Nothobranchius furzeri: one gene and its partners. The protein of the gene in region 3 purifies or fractionates together with the protein of the main gene of each other region. This does not show direct contact. Links are inferred from orthologs where the notes say so. Each region holds a gene or a part of one and is shown on either strand. Other genes may lie near its edges.

The links.
Region 1: the proteins of kpnb1 (region 3) and nusap1 purify together in Homo sapiens (affinity purification with mass spectrometry; 3 studies listed by BioGRID and IntAct, counting the BioPlex papers as one, with this or other methods). This does not show direct contact. The link is inferred for Nothobranchius furzeri from reciprocal best matches to the Homo sapiens genes KPNB1 and NUSAP1.
Region 2: the proteins of kpnb1 (region 3) and nup214 purify together in Homo sapiens (affinity purification with mass spectrometry; 3 studies listed by BioGRID and IntAct, with this or other methods). This does not show direct contact. The link is inferred for Nothobranchius furzeri from reciprocal best matches to the Homo sapiens genes KPNB1 and NUP214.

The regions. Positions count from the first base shown.
Region 1 is NC_091758.1:19,032,466-19,037,713, reverse strand, and holds nusap1 (nucleolar and spindle-associated protein 1), read left to right. Parts: upstream 1-1,850; 5' UTR 1,851-1,963; coding exon 1,964-2,038; intron 2,039-2,133; coding exon 2,134-2,196; intron 2,197-2,282; coding exon 2,283-2,441; intron 2,442-2,531; coding exon 2,532-2,676; intron 2,677-2,758; coding exon 2,759-2,851; intron 2,852-2,953; coding exon 2,954-3,066; intron 3,067-3,189; coding exon 3,190-3,362; intron 3,363-3,450; coding exon 3,451-3,614; intron 3,615-4,104; coding exon 4,105-4,215; intron 4,216-4,286; coding exon 4,287-4,392; intron 4,393-4,470; coding exon 4,471-4,558; 3' UTR 4,559-4,780; downstream 4,781-5,248. Other genes in the region: oip5 (protein Mis18-beta), read right to left, coding at 1,116-1,182, 1,351-1,606; ndufaf1 (complex I intermediate-associated protein 30, mitochondrial), read right to left, coding at 5,101-5,241. UniProt on the Homo sapiens protein: Microtubule-associated protein with the capacity to bundle and stabilize microtubules. May associate with chromosomes and promote the organization of mitotic spindle microtubules around them.
Region 2 is NC_091746.1:57,168,218-57,173,551, reverse strand, and holds the start of nup214 (nuclear pore complex protein Nup214), read right to left. Parts: upstream 3,399-5,334; 5' UTR 3,257-3,398; coding exon 3,215-3,256; intron 1-3,214. UniProt on the Homo sapiens protein: Part of the nuclear pore complex. Has a critical role in nucleocytoplasmic transport.
Region 3 is NC_091745.1:29,728,199-29,732,861, reverse strand, and holds part of kpnb1 (importin subunit beta-1), read left to right. Parts: intron 1-1,865; coding exon 1,866-2,018; intron 2,019-2,109; coding exon 2,110-2,169; intron 2,170-2,261; coding exon 2,262-2,351; intron 2,352-2,735; coding exon 2,736-2,846; intron 2,847-2,926; coding exon 2,927-3,028; intron 3,029-3,117; coding exon 3,118-3,342; intron 3,343-4,609; coding exon 4,610-4,663.

The sequences.
Region 1 (5,248 bases), on a different chromosome or scaffold from region 3:
GATTTGAGACCAACTTCTGGTAAATATTACCTGTTGGTGTGGAACAGAAAACATAAATTAACAATAAACTCTACATCAGCAGGGCCCAAAACATCATCAAAGGCCCCTCCCACCCCAGTCACTACAGCTTTTTAATTCAGCAGGTGCTACAAAGCCACAAGAGCGAAAACCAGCTGACTGAGGGTCAGCTTCTTCCCCACAGCTGTCGGGACAATAAATAGAAGAAACAAACTCTTGAACTGGTGCGATAAATCCAATGTAACTTGAAAAACATTACTACTGTTGTTTGTAGGTCACTGCATTCAGTAAGGATTTATTTGTGTATATATTTCATATCTATCTTTCTTTTTTTTTCTTAAAACTTGTTTGTTTTATCTGGGAGTTGATTTTTCCAAGTCATATTTTCCACCATGTCATTCATACATTTCATAAATGTCCCATTTCTCAACTAAATATGTAGTTAAAAAGCTAACTGTTTTAAATTATTTTAAAAACTAAATATTTAGTAGGATAAACATTTTGTTTATTTTTCATTCATCATTCATTCGTTTTCTTTATTCTCATAATTCTGACTTTTTAACTTCTGAAAAAAAAAGTGAAATTCACTTTCACCTTCTTTTTTCTTTAACTTTTCAGGGGCGCCAATCCTTTTTTGTATATGTCTGACCTAAATATCTATTTTTTAGCTTAATATTTAGTTAGTAAATTAAATATTTAGTTTGGAGCTAAATATTTAGTTAGTAAATTATTTAAAATACCTGACCTAAATATTTATTTTGAGAAATACATATTTAAGTATGACCTAAATACTTAGCTTGGTGCTAAATATAATTTTAGTAAATTAAACATTTACTTAGAAAATAAATACTTATGTCTGATCTAAATATTTAGTTTCCAAATGAAAAATTTGTAAAATAAATGTTTACCTCATTTTAAATATTTAGCTTGTTAGCTGAAAACTAAGCCTTTTAAAAATGTATGAATGACATGACTTTTTAAAATTAACTCTCAGTTGCTCCCTTTTATGACAGTCGACATAATCCAAGTACTGCTGTTACATTGCGACAGTTTGGCACCCCATAGAACATTAATCTGTACACCTAAAGCTAACTCACCTGTTATCCAGCTCTCCTTTATGCCCGGGCTCTTCTGCATCACCAACAATCACATCACTGGTTACTTCTGAAGGGACCAAAAATACTGATTATTATGGGATGTAACAGTAGTGAAGCCTATTATAAAAGAACAAACCAGAAACTATTTCAACAAGTAAAACAAAAACATTTTAAGAGGAAATTTAAGGTACATATAATATGTTTACCACAATAACATCAATGAGGTAACCCTTACTTAGACACATGATGGAGTCCAGACGTTCTACTTCTCCACAGACGCTAAAGGAGTCTCCCAGGACAGTGTTGCACTGCTGACAGTGAAAAGTCAGCGCTTGTCTGTCATCTGCATCCGTGGTAATGACCATATTGTTGAGTCGTTTATTTAAGACGCTGTCGTCAAATTCCATGTCACCCAGAGAACCAGAACCACCAACGGACGATTTTAAGTTTTGTTCTTCTAATTTCCGCGCGCTGAAGTTAGCTTGGCACATTACTGCCACCGCGGTGTGGGTTTAGACACAACACCAAGACACATATACGCAAGAAAATGAGAAACATTAACACAACAAAGCTGTAATTTTAAACTTTTAACAATATGCTAAAATAATAACTATTAATCACCAGTTTAACAAAAAAAAAGGATAGATTTAAGTAGAGGCGTTTGACCATCTTGGTTTTGATTGGCTATGGGGCACATCTGGTTAAAAATAAGAGCCAATCAAATCGCTCTCACGGTCTTGTTTTGAATAGGAAGGAGTTTTAACCGTCGGGGCGCGAATGAGAAGCAGAAGAAGAAAGAAAACGGAGACATCGTGATTTTATAAAGCATAGTAAACCACCGTAGTAACATGGATTTGGACTCCATGAAATATGCGGATTTGCGAAGTCTTGCGAAGGAGCTTGGGCTGAAAGCAAACGGGAAGGTAAGGAAGTTACTTTTACGTGTCTTTAGCGTAACGGTAGAGGACTGTTAGCTAACATCGGCTAAATCAATCACGTTTTATTTACTCATACGCAGGCTGATAAACTCCTGAAAGCTATAAAAGAGCATTACCACGAAGAGAAGAACGCAGACGTGCAGGTAGGTAACTGCTGCTGCAGTATTATTTTAAAAGTATTGTTTTAATGTAAATTGAATGTCTGCGTATCGTTGTGTTTCTGCCCCAGGGTCGATGCAGTGTTGGTGTCCCTGAACACAAAAGTGTAGCAGAAGACAGCGCTGTCCCTGTCTTTGTAAACACACGTCGGGGTAAAGGAAACCGCTCCAAGAGAAGGCTTTCTGACACTTCCAGTGTGTGTGGTGCTAAGACTCCCAGTGCTGCAGAGGTCTGACGTCATTAAAAAGGCCACTGGTTGTGTTTAACAGCACGTAACCGTCTGTAACCCTACCAGGTGTAAGACTGTTTGTCTTTTCAGGGTGGTGACAAGCCAAGTGTCTGCAGCACCCCCACTTCACAGGGTAGCAAGAAAAGAAAGCTGTCCTGTCATGGAGAACCTCAAACTACTGAGACTGACCAGCAGCACCCTGATACTAAAGAGGAGAAAACGGCTCAATCAACAGGTTTGAGAGCTTCTTCAAACCTGCGACTAGATTTATTTTTGCTTTGAGAAGCAGTTTGACTCATAAAATCATATTTGTTCAGGAAAAGTACCAAAAGTGGTGAAACCTGGCAAAATTCCCCGCTACAGAGGCTCCCAGCAGATGAACAAGACTCTGTTGAAGCCCACCACACCTAGTGAGTTTGCTTTATTTCCTTTCTCCAGACTTGCGTAAACACGGTCAGCATATTTAATCCTTGAATTTGTTTTACTGTTTGTCAATTTTATCTCTAAATTAGATTTTAAGAAAATCCATGAGGCGCAGTTCAACAAAATGGAGTCCATTGACACCTATGTTCAGCGCAAAACAAAGCAGATGGAGACCACCAGATCTTCAGCCAAAGATCTGAAGGTATTAAGTCTTCCTAACATCAGAACAAATGTTTAAGTTGGTCTTTCTACATTGTTTTCCATCCTAATCTGAAGTCAAAGCTGGACACGTTTCAGAGCTTATGTGTGGGTTTGTGTTTGACAGAACACGACTCGTGCCTCCATGTTCAGCCCAGCCCAGCTCAATAAGAGACCAGCTGCAGAAAAGCCCAGACACACTTTGCTGCCAGTCAGTAAAGCTCTTCAAAACAAACGTGCTGGGAAAGACGACCTTCCATTCAGACCGTCTGTTATTTCTACGCGTAGGATCAATGTTCGGTGCGTCTTCTGTCGATCATTGCTACAGTCATTGTTATAGCAAACACAGATAAGTGTGTTTCATGTGACGCTCTACCAACTTGTTCAGATTCTCAGAAGCTACATGTGACAACGAGTTTAAGAGGTCTTTGGTGAAGACCCCGGCACGCATGTCGCTCCAGAGACCTTCCAGCACCCCTCAAAGCCAGACCACCAAAGCAAAGAAGCCACATGTTGTCATTACGTCTACTTTGTCTCCCCAAAAAACTTCAGGTACTCATCGCCACCATTTGGGATAATTTAAATTTGATGTGTTAACTAGAGGCCTTACCGACATGTTTTTTTTTTTAGGCCGATAGATTTACAAAGAATTTTGATGCCGATGGCTGATATCTAAAACCGATTATTAAGGTTTATATATGTGATTTGGCAGCATATTGCTTGTGAAAGACAACCTAACGCTCACTGTGTGCAATATAAATTAAATAAGTCAATAAATCTCTTAATATTTATTGAACTTCAAATATTAAACAAACTCAAAACATTTTTATTTTTTTTAAAGCAGTGTGTTGGGGGTCGTTCGGGTTCTCTCTTCAGTCTAGTAGTAGCGGCGGTAGGCCACACAGGTGCCTGATTTTAAAAAATGTTTTTATTGGCTTTTAAAAATAATTTCGGCCGATATAGAAAAAATTTTATATATCTGTCAGCCTCTAGTGCGAACATGCAAAATAAATCTAACCAATCTGGTTTGTCTCCATTAAAGAACTGTTTGTTTTTACTGGTGACGTCTCAACCACACCCGGAACACAAAAGAAGCCGACCTTTGATCTGAAGGCCAGTCTGTCGCGTCCGCTCAACTACAAACCCCACAAAGGTGCGGAACTGTCCTCAAAGACCGTAAGTTGTGTTGTTCTGAGACACTGATGCTTCCTTCCTTTTTTGCAGGCAAACTGAAGCCATTTGGAGATGCTAAAGAAAATGCATCTGCAAACAAATCTCTGATCTCCAATTCGCGTCAGGAAAGTTACAAACAACACAAGGTGCAGTCCAGGTGAGCCTGAGAGAAATTCTCATCACAACAATCTGCCTGTAAAGCGCCTCCTGAGGCTGATCCGTGTCGTGTTTACAGGGACGACCGGAGGGCAATACTAGCAGAGGACCGGAAGCAGAAGAAAACAAAACTGCTCGGAGCGAGGAGAGGCCTGGTCATGGAATAGAAACGCTTTTGCATTTTTCTCAAGCTTCCTGTTCTCATGTAAATAATTTAGACATCCGTGCTCTCCTGAGCCAGTTGTAAGAACATGGATTCAGTCTGCTTTACTCAGCTTGTAGATTTGTTTGTTTATAATAATCATTTTTATCCTTTTGTAGTAAAAACTTTTACTTATTGTTTTCCATTTTGAGATGAATATTTGGATTAAAATGGTGACCTAAAAGATTTGTTGTGCTTTAATAAAATGTCTCTTGAATGCTTTTATTATTGCTTTTACAATAAAACAACAAAAAACTCTCACATGGAAATCACTTTGCTGTTTTACTGAGAGAAGTCATTTAAACTAAACGGGAAAATTAAGAAGCAGCAAGAGTGTCTGTTTAACTTGTAAAAGATCAACAGCAACAACCGTTTGATCCCCTTAACCGATTTGTGTTTTAAAATTGACCAGAAATGCAAAAAAAAAAAAAAGTGAAGACGAGGAATTTCCACACATCTGTATTTAATTGGCTGCTTAACGGTTTAAACGCTGCGTTGTGGTGGCCCCTAAGCTGTTGGGTTCCTCTTGTACATCTCGTAAGCGAAGTCCTCTGTGTGAGCGTAATCTTTGCAGACGCCAATAAAATCAATCTCAAGCTGAAAAGGGCCGTCTGCTTTGTCTCCCAGGGTGAACCCGATGGTATTAATCTGAAAA
Region 2 (5,334 bases), on a different chromosome or scaffold from region 3:
AGCAGGGGTGTAGAACGTTTTTATTAGGGCCAGCCCAGTAATGATCTTGGACCAAAATAAAGGGGGCAGAAAGTCAAATAAAGGGGGCAAAAGAAGATGTTTTTCCAGACGCCAAGAAAAATTAAATGCCAAATCCACCCTGCAAAGTGTGTCACTGAGAGTTTAAAACTGAAATTATTATTGTGCAAATACTGGTGTATTCACCTTTAATACTAGTTATTACAATGTAGCAGTTGCTGGATTGGTGCAGTTCAAAGTGGAGTGCATCAAATAAAACAATATTAACATAAAGGTGAGACGTGTCATAACCCCCCACCCCCACCCCCCACCCCCGCCAACACCACCACAGCTGGAAAAATTCCTAGGGGAAACACTGCTACCACTGACTCAAGTTTGCTCTGCAGCATTGATATTTATTCCCAACAATTAACTCAAGCCTGAAGGAGTTCTGCTTTGTTGTGGAGTTGCTAATGCTAACACTTAGCTTCTACTAGTTGAGATGTTCTCTGCTGTTTCCTGGACACTAAATCAACAACAGCCTTCCCCATTGCAAGTCAAGATGGGTGAATCCATGAATGGTAAGCGACAGTGTGACGTAGAGCTGTCAGGCTTTTCAAATCCTAGAGCAGGGGTATTCAATTCCGGGCCTGGAGGGCCGATATCCGGCAGGTTTAACCCCGTTCCAACACACCCGATTTCAATCAGCATATAATTAACAGGTATTTGCAGAGCCTGATGAGCTTCAGCACATGTGATTCAACCATTGAATTAAGTATATTGGAGCAGTGAAACAACTAAAACGTGTTAGATGCCAGCCCCCCAGGCCCGGAATTGAATACCCCTGTCCTAGACTTTCACTATTTTCTAGACTTTCACTATTTCTATCAGAAGCTAATGAAGGAGATATATAAAAAATAGGACACTATTTTCACGTTCAGTCTGCATGTTAAACTCTGAGTGACTGATTTAAAAAAATAAGTAAAAATTGTTTCTTAGTGAAGGACCTCTTTAAGTTTACAGTTTGGTTGTGCAACGTGGGGTCAGTGTTGAAGTTCTAATTCTACCAAAGGAGAAATAATTCAAACATCATCTCTGAGATGCTATCTAACTTGTCTTAAGTGCTTGAAAGCTGATTTTCTCAAACTTCTTAAACTATGTAGAGTATAGGGCTGTCGCGGTTGAGGAATTCCCCCTGCGGTGATTCAGGGTGGCTTAATATTGCGGTGTGCGATATTATTGCAGCCCTTTTTTTATTGCAGTACTATCTAAACATAATGTTTACACATTTAAAAAAGGTTAAAAATTGCCGTGCCTTCTTCAATAACGCTTTACTGAATGCAGATCAAAGGGCAGTAACAACACAGATCGCAGTAACGTTTGTTTCTCCGACAGTCGGAGTCCAACTGAACTTAAAAACAACAAAATTCAGGAGGTTAAACTTTTAAATGCAAATTTGGCTGCAGCATCTAACAAATAAGAAACAAGTCCCCATTTTGTTTAGTTGTTTAAAATCAAGCATAAAAAATTACATGTACCGGGCGCGCGCGCGCCGGGGGGCGGGCGCACTATCATTTCACTTTCACACACACGAATGACGGTGATTTATAGCTCGGTCACGTCCTTGTTACCTACAAGGAAAACCAAGCATGTTAACCATATACGGTTTGAGAGAGGATCTGAGAGGGGTGGCAACATTTCCAGCAACACTGAAAACCCTCTCGGATGGTGCGTTCGTTGCACTAACGCACACGTACTTGCGTGCGACTCTGCCGAGCAAAGGGAATGTCTCCCGGTTGTTGCTCCACCATGTCAGGGGGGTTTCTTTAGGGTGGATGCATTCCTCCTGCAGGTAGCGAGTGAGCTCCAGCTCGGCTCAAACTCTCTTCAGGACGGTTGCAGAAGCAGTGCTTGTCCGGGACTTCAGCAGGTCTCCGAGCGTTTATTATTATTTTTTTGCCGCTGGTGGCAGCTCTGTCTCGGCCAAGGACTCTGGCTGTGCAGCAGCTGACGTACTGAAAACCAAAGTGCTCCCAAAGGAGCGAAGTAACGTTTCGTTTTGATACCAGTGCAGCCATCCTTCTCAACATGCATCATTGAGTTGAACCAAGTTCAGTAATCGCGGTGGTCCATGATGCAGCGCGGTGGGCTTCTTCATATTGCGATATTTCATTTTTGCGGTTACCGCGACAGCCCTAGTAGAGTATAAAAACAGTCCGCTTGAAATTTGAAAATGTTTAGATATCTTCAAATGACTAGCAGTGAAAAAGCTGTAAAAATGCTGACGTGTCACATTACAATTAAGTAGATATTGCACACAAAATTACACACATTATCAAATCTTTTAGCAATGTTATGACTGCCATAACAATGGCGATTAGGTGCAATTTCCTACATTTTAATAAAAAAATGTAAAATTGCATTAAGTACATTTGGGTACTTTACATTTGATCTATGTTCTTAGTTGTATATCAGTGCTAATATATTGGCAATGAGGTTTGTTACTGCATTAAATTTGCTAAAGTGGCTTTTTAGAGTATTTTGTACTTCTGTCCATTTGTATAAAATCTAAAGTTGAATGAAAATGGAGTTAACAAAAAATAATAATCTTGGGTGTCATTCATAGTGCACCTAAAATACATTCAAGTACAGTTTACATGTTTGCTCCTACCTGTGAGATTCACTAAAGAGTATAAATCTCTAAAAACAAACCTTAAACTGTTTCAATATTATATGATATAAGGTGCTCCCTATGCTTTTGGAAGCACTGATTAAAGTATTTGCATACAAATAGACAACAACAAGCGTTTAAAGCAACTTATATACTATTTCTTTAATGTATTTATTCTTAATTATAAAATAGCCTAAAATAAATTGTAATAGTCGTGCAACGTAACCGTAATATCAAACGATGTCATTTGTTGTCATAAAAGACCTGAATGACATCTCTGTTACCGTTAGCATAACATTGCGGTGCTAACATACGTAGACTGAAACGAATATAAAATAATTTCTTTTGACGGACTTGAGAGAAAATTGTAATCAGTTCTCCGTTTTCATCACTCGGCATTTTATCAATGTGCATGGTCTAAGTCAGTAAAAAACAAGGGGTTATAGTAATCTAAACCAAAATAACTTTACAATCAGTTAGCTAGCTGCTTATAAGCTACTAAGCTAACCAACGCCGTAGCTTTCCACATGCTAGCCGCGTAAATACCTTCATCTCCCTCTCAGGAGGGGAGTCTGTATCGTCACTCATTTCGAACAGAAACTTCTGATTCTCCGGATGAGGTTTTGCTTTAATTTATTCCTTCAAAGCGTAGATGTAAGTCAAAGTTCGAGCGAGCTACATCAACTGAACTCGCCGCGCCGTTTTGTGTGTGAAAATAAAATAGGATGACTAGTGGATGCTAGAGTGTCCTTTTGCAGTTAATAAATAAATAAGGATGACGAGTAGATGCCAGAGCTAACTGAGATGGCCCACCAGTCTCTTGGATCCGAATAAAAACAAAACGTGTTTAGAGCTGATTTTTGCATCTTGTTTCTGATCATATTTGCCGGGAAAATGTCTTGTCTGTTTACAAATAGTATGTCAGGATGTTAATATATATTGTTTTCATATCATAAATGTACAAATTAGCATAGTTTCTTATTCATAAATCCAAGTTCTATAATCATAATTTATTCCTGTTTATTTCCCATAGAAGAGTACAAGTGTCATAAAAACCTTAAAAATGTGATATATGAATTTAAACGTTTACATTTTTTGTGCTGGCATTGCTCTAAGCCCCTTTGATTGTTGCATTTATGGTACTGACTCAAGAAGCATTTAGCTTTTTATTTATTTTTCTGCTATTACTCTTTGCCTTAGCCAACCTAATGTATGACGTATGGTTCTTAATGAAGTAAAACGTTTTAAATATTTTAAACATGGATAGTTATGATGCAATAAAAGTGACATACTAAAAAAAATGCTAAACAACATTTAAATCAGACTATTCACATTCTTAAAGTTGTATTTTTATATCCAAGTTTTTATTTTCCAACTGGTCTCCCTGACTTTAATGAAAATAGTTGAGAATACTTAAAAATCTTTTATAACTAACTTTTGACATGAAATCTACTCAGGGGAACAAAAACAATTAGGTAAAAACTTTTTAAATGTCTAATAAAGTTATACTGACTTTTGTTAACATACACTTGCAGGAAAGTTTGTACTTGTGTATAAGCACTTTACAAGTTGCAGAAACTTTTATTTCTCCTATGCATGATTCTTTTTTGAATCAGTACCCCTTTGGGAACCCCAAGAAATGAAGACAAAAGGAATAGCCACCCACTACAGTATAGGTGAAGTAAGGACTTTTATTAGAAAGCTGAATTTTCTGTTTTGCATTTAAACAAATCAGGTACTCCTCTGCGACTACATAACTTAAAACTGATAATGGCAGAGATGATGGTAGGAATGAAAGATAAGATTCTTATGTAACATCAAAAGTGGCATCTTGCATTTCCATTATATAGTATTCATGCTTGAGCCAGAAGGCGCATGAACATTTTAACATTTTATTCTTTTAGAAAGCAGAAACAACATCCAGGATTTCCGGGGCCAGGCCCTGCTGATTGTGAAGAACAATACAGTGATCGGAGTTTACAGTTGCATGATCGGATCCTTTTGTCAGCTTGTGCACTGACGTCCATTATCAAGTTAGGTAGGAGTTCAGACTTCAGGCCAAGACTGGCCCACTCTTGCATGACAGATGTGGCCCGTGTCAACATGGGGTGACTGTTCATGAAGCACCAAGATTTTAGTCCGTTCTTGTTGCAGTAACACACATTCATTATATCCACGTCCTTCTGTTCTGGGGAAAGCAAGCTAGCATAGATCGAAGCAAGCTAGAGAAGGACAAAGCAAAAAAAGCAAGAGCACAGCAAGTCATGTCACAACTCCAATAGTGCACCGCGGGCCTCATCCCTTTTCTGATTGTCAGCGCTCTGAACACATGGCTTTAAAAATTGCATTTACTCCTCTTTTGCCCGTATCCTTGGACACTCTTGACTTATTTTTTACACTTTTCTTTCAATTTCCAAGTAAAGTGCTGGCTTTATGTTCAATTTCACACATACACATATAAACCTTTAGTGCATTTTTTTCTGAGTCTGCAAAATATTTAAACGCACACTCAACTGGGTAGTTAGTCTGTGTGTATTCCACTCCTAATCAGTACTTTGCTGTCAATTATACAAGAGATTACACTTTATGCAAACATTCAATGAAAGGCCGGAGTGTGTGAGAAACACACACACACACACACGCTTGCTGCAAGACTCCCCAGTCGT
Region 3 (4,663 bases):
GCATTTATTCTGAAAGGAACCGTTGCAGCAGGTGGAACAGCAACAGGTTTTCCAGCTTGTCGCTTCTTTCAGCTGAAGAGGAAAGTTACGGATTGGCCACTCCGTCTTCAAGTGTTCTCTCGAATGCTTTGAACTGGCGTTAAAGATGACATGGGCATAGTTTTATACTTCGGATGTTTTGGTTTATGGTCGAATGAAAAGATGACAGATTTACCAAGCACCACCAAACCCACGCCTCCGTCAGGTCTGTCAGAATCTGATTGGATCAGTAAAAGCAGTGTTATGTCTTAACGCTACGTGAGATCAGTCCTAGTGGAAACATTTAAAGTCATATTACTTATTATATTCTATAGGATTATAATAAAGTAATTAATATTTTGATTTCACGGATTGGTCACATCTTATTGACGAACACTGATTAGCTTATTAAAAATAGAGTTCTTTGATATATTAAAGAGAGTCCAAGAAGCTCTTGGGCTGGAAAGGAAGCAGTTTATAGCAAATGCATGAGACCTTGAGGCCATATATCATGCAGACTAGTTCTGTGTCAGAGGAGAGGGGGAATGACTTGGTGGAAAACAGTCATTTCATTCCGTTACATCTGTAATTCCTGCTCTATAATTTATCCAAATAATATTCTTACTGATGAAATTTAAAAAGATAATGAAGAGGTACAAATTATGTTTAAGTAATAATTAATATTCATAATAACTGCACTAGTAGGAATTTAGCATCTTAATTCATGATGATGTCCTGACCAGTTGTCAACAGTTAAACCTTTTTGTGTTTTTACAGAAACTCAAAAAAGGCTATTAGGCAAATATTACTAAATGTGTGAAACACTGAAAAAACCTTTTTAATGATTATTTCTGATCATAATCAGTCACTGAGTTTTTCATGCAGGCTGAACATGAAAATAGTCTCCTACACCTATCTTCTGCATTATCTATTGATAGAAAATAGACAGTGAAACTGTTAAAATCAGATCTACATCACACTGTCGCCTAACATTCATGGACTCGCCCATCTTGACTCATGACGTGGAAGGCTGTTTTAGCATCCAGGAAACTGGAGAGAATGTCTCAACTAGTAGAAGCTAACTGTTAGCATTACCAACTCCACTACACAGCAGAACTCCTCCAGGCTTGTGTTATTTGTGGAGATGGAACAACATTGCAAATCAATTGCAGGGTAAACTTTTCTAAACAAAATCTCTGAAAAGGAACAAAATATTTTTCAAGTGTTCAGAACATTTATAGAATGTAATCATGCCTTTATCAATAATGTATAAGATGTGTGTGTGATTTATGTAAATACAGACGTGAAATCAGTTCGTGTAAAATAATCGTGTAATCATGAAACTGATTATTTCTTTGACTACAATCATGCCACCAAAATTTATAATTGTTGACTCCCAAATGCCAATACGGCAACCCGATGACATCCTAATAAGCAAATTGGATGAGTGCATTTGCTCTCTGTACAAACTTTGGGTCCTACTGAAGATTTCTCATTGACAGTTTACCTTTATCTCTTACCATTTTCAAGCTACAACCCCCTGAAAAGGTCCTGTCAAAATTTAATATTTTCTTGAAAAAACTGGCACCCAAAAGGTTATTTTGAATTTTTTGCTTATCATTTGTCTTTTCTTGCACCAAGTACTGCAGCAATTTCCTAATGTTGTGATTCTCGCACAAATGACAATAAAACCCTTCTGGTTCTGATTCTAACCGCTTACAGTCAGACGCACCGGAGCTGTAACATGCAGACTCCAGACCAGATTCCAGTTCTGGTTTGTGACTGTTGCAGCCTATGCCTGACGCTGTTGTCTGTGGAGTACTCCTGACATATTTTGTTCCTTTTAGGACCCTGAGCAGCTGCAGGAAAATGCCAACCAGATCCTGACGGCCATCATCCAGGGCATGAGGAAGGAGGAACCCAGTAACAATGTGAAGCTAGCTGCTACCAATGCCCTGCTCAACTCACTGGAGTTCACCAAAGCCAACTTTGACAAGGAGGTGAGGGTCTGATGTAATAGTTGGAGTTCCCTAGTCAGGGATGTAGTTCTGATCTGCATTTGTGAATAAATGATGATGTTTGTGTTTTCAGACGGAGAGGCACTTCATCATGCAGGTGGTTTGTGAAGCCACCCAGTGTCCTGACACCAGAGTGAGTACCATGAGAACTGAATCTCTTGCTGTGAGCTGGATCGTGTTTATAGGTCTTATCCTGATCCGTCCTGTCGTCTATGATGCATGCAGGTCCGCGTGGCAGCTCTGCAGAACCTGGTGAAGATTATGTCTCTGTATTATCAGTACATGGAGACATACATGGGGCCTGCTCTGTTTGCGGTAATAAACTCACTCAATATTTGGTTCTATAGAACAAAACTTGTGGTTTTGCTTTGATTAGTTGGGACAGAAGAACACTTGAGTGTAGTTTAAGGCAAAAGTTATGAATCTGAGGTCGTTTCTTTGGGCCAAAGAGTTTAAAGTCCTGTCCTGATTTTCATCAGTCTTGGTGAGCAACAGCGTTCCACTTGGGTGATGTTCTGGTTCATCGTTTATTTATTCAGAAGACAATAGGTGTAAACAGGGATAATTCCTCGCCAGGAACAGGGCAGGGTCATAAGCCTGGACATTTCCAGTTTAATGATCTGCTGCTGCACAAAGTTCAGTAGAGCTGAATCTCTAATTTCGGTTGTTTTCCAACATGTTTTTTAAATTTTGTTTCAGATCACTATTGAGGCGATGAAGAGCGACATTGATGAGGTGGCTCTGCAGGGTATTGAGTTCTGGTCCAACGTCTGTGACGAGGAGATGGACCTGGCCATTGAGGCCTCAGAGGTCTGTTTCCAGTTTGAGGACTCGTTTCAGATGTGTAGCGCTGCGTTCACTGACTGCTCGTTTCTCCTCTTGCCCATCAGGCCTCGGAGCAGGGGCGCCCCCCCGAGCACACTAGTAAATTCTATGCTAAAGGGGCACTTCAGTACCTGGTCCCCATCCTGACTCAGACCTTGACCAAGCAGGTGCTGACCTTTCACTTCTCTGTGTGCTCCTGCTAGTTTTGTGACTTCACTGTGGTTTATGAGAAATTAAATTTTTTCAAACTCTGCAGGATGAGAACGATGACGACGATGACTGGAACCCCTGCAAGGCTGCAGGTGTGTGTCTGATGCTGCTGGCCACCTGCTGCGAGGACGACGTGGTTCCTCACGTTCTGCCCTTCATCAAAGAGAACATCAAACACCCCGACTGGCGCTACCGTGACGCCTCCGTCATGGCCTTTGGCTCAATCCTGGAGGGACCCGACCTGAACCAGCTCAAGCCCCTCGTCATTCAGGTGCAGACCTAAAGCTCTAGACCAGGGGTTGGCAACCTGTTCCCATCAAAGAACCATTATTACCCGTTTCCCACAGTAAAGAAAACACTGGGAGCCACAGCAGCCGCGGCGTTGTGGGCGGGGCCTACCCTCAGACAGCAGAGAGCTGCTCACAACAGGTGACGGCAGCCGGTACCGGTCGCTAGTGTACGTCAAAGTTATCTTTCATAAGATAATCAATAAAACAATTTATATAAAGTGGATCCAGAAGTTGTAGCCCGTCTCTGCCTACAATATTTAGATATTTTTCACCCTGTTGGTGGTTTTACTGAGCAGGTGCCACTTTTGTCGTACGTTTCTTTTTAAAACATGTTTAGACTGTTCAGAATACAAATCCAGGCTCTGTCACGTTTGATTGTTGTAATTAAGCTTTGTAGGTGGGGAAGGTCAGAAAAGGATCCGATCATTTTGTTTTTCCCTCATTTACAGTGGCAGAGATAACGGCGCAGTGTGCCTGGTGTTGATCAAGTTTAATTTGTAACAATTTTCACAAGAAAACCGTTAAAATCAGGGCTTGTGTTGGCCAGACAGTTCCCGTATTTGACCGTTTATTTTGACGGAGAAAGAATAGAAAGAATTACCCCGACGCATGCAGACGAACTGACATTTTATTCTACGCACATCGCAGATGTAGCTAAATCACTCAAGAAACGATTCCCATCTGAACATCTGAGCTGGACACCGCTCAGCGCAGCTCACTGTCAGCATGTACTACATAAGGTCCACAGCGAGCTGAAGATGTGGAGAGGGGCTTGGAGCACGTCGCAGAACCAGAGCGCATGCGGGAAGGTTCCTCCCACTGAAGCGAGACTTGTCACTTAGAAAATGTTCCCTGATTATGAAACTTTGGCTGAATAGCGCTTGTTCCTGTGTCCAATGTGGCGACACATCCAGGAGCCGTCTGAGGAGAATCCCAGAATCTCACATCCTCTTCAGCTCAGGAAGCGCCGATATGATTACGCACAAGCATGACGCGTCAACCCGGTCTCACAGTAAGACCGGGTTGGACCTGTTCAGGTTTACGCAGACAATCTTTACATTTAGAATTGGCATACAGATGTAAAATGTATGCAGTAAAATATAAAGCTTTTCATTTAAATATCCATTCATTATTTTACAAGCACAGAGAGCCGCATCAGATGGATGGAGGAGCCGCGGGTTGCCGACCCCCGACATATACCTTCAGTTTTTGTGAGTGAATTCTGATCATGCTCTCCTCTCCAATCAGGCCATGCCGACCCTGATTGAGCTGATGAAGGACCCCAGTGTGGTGGTGAGAGAC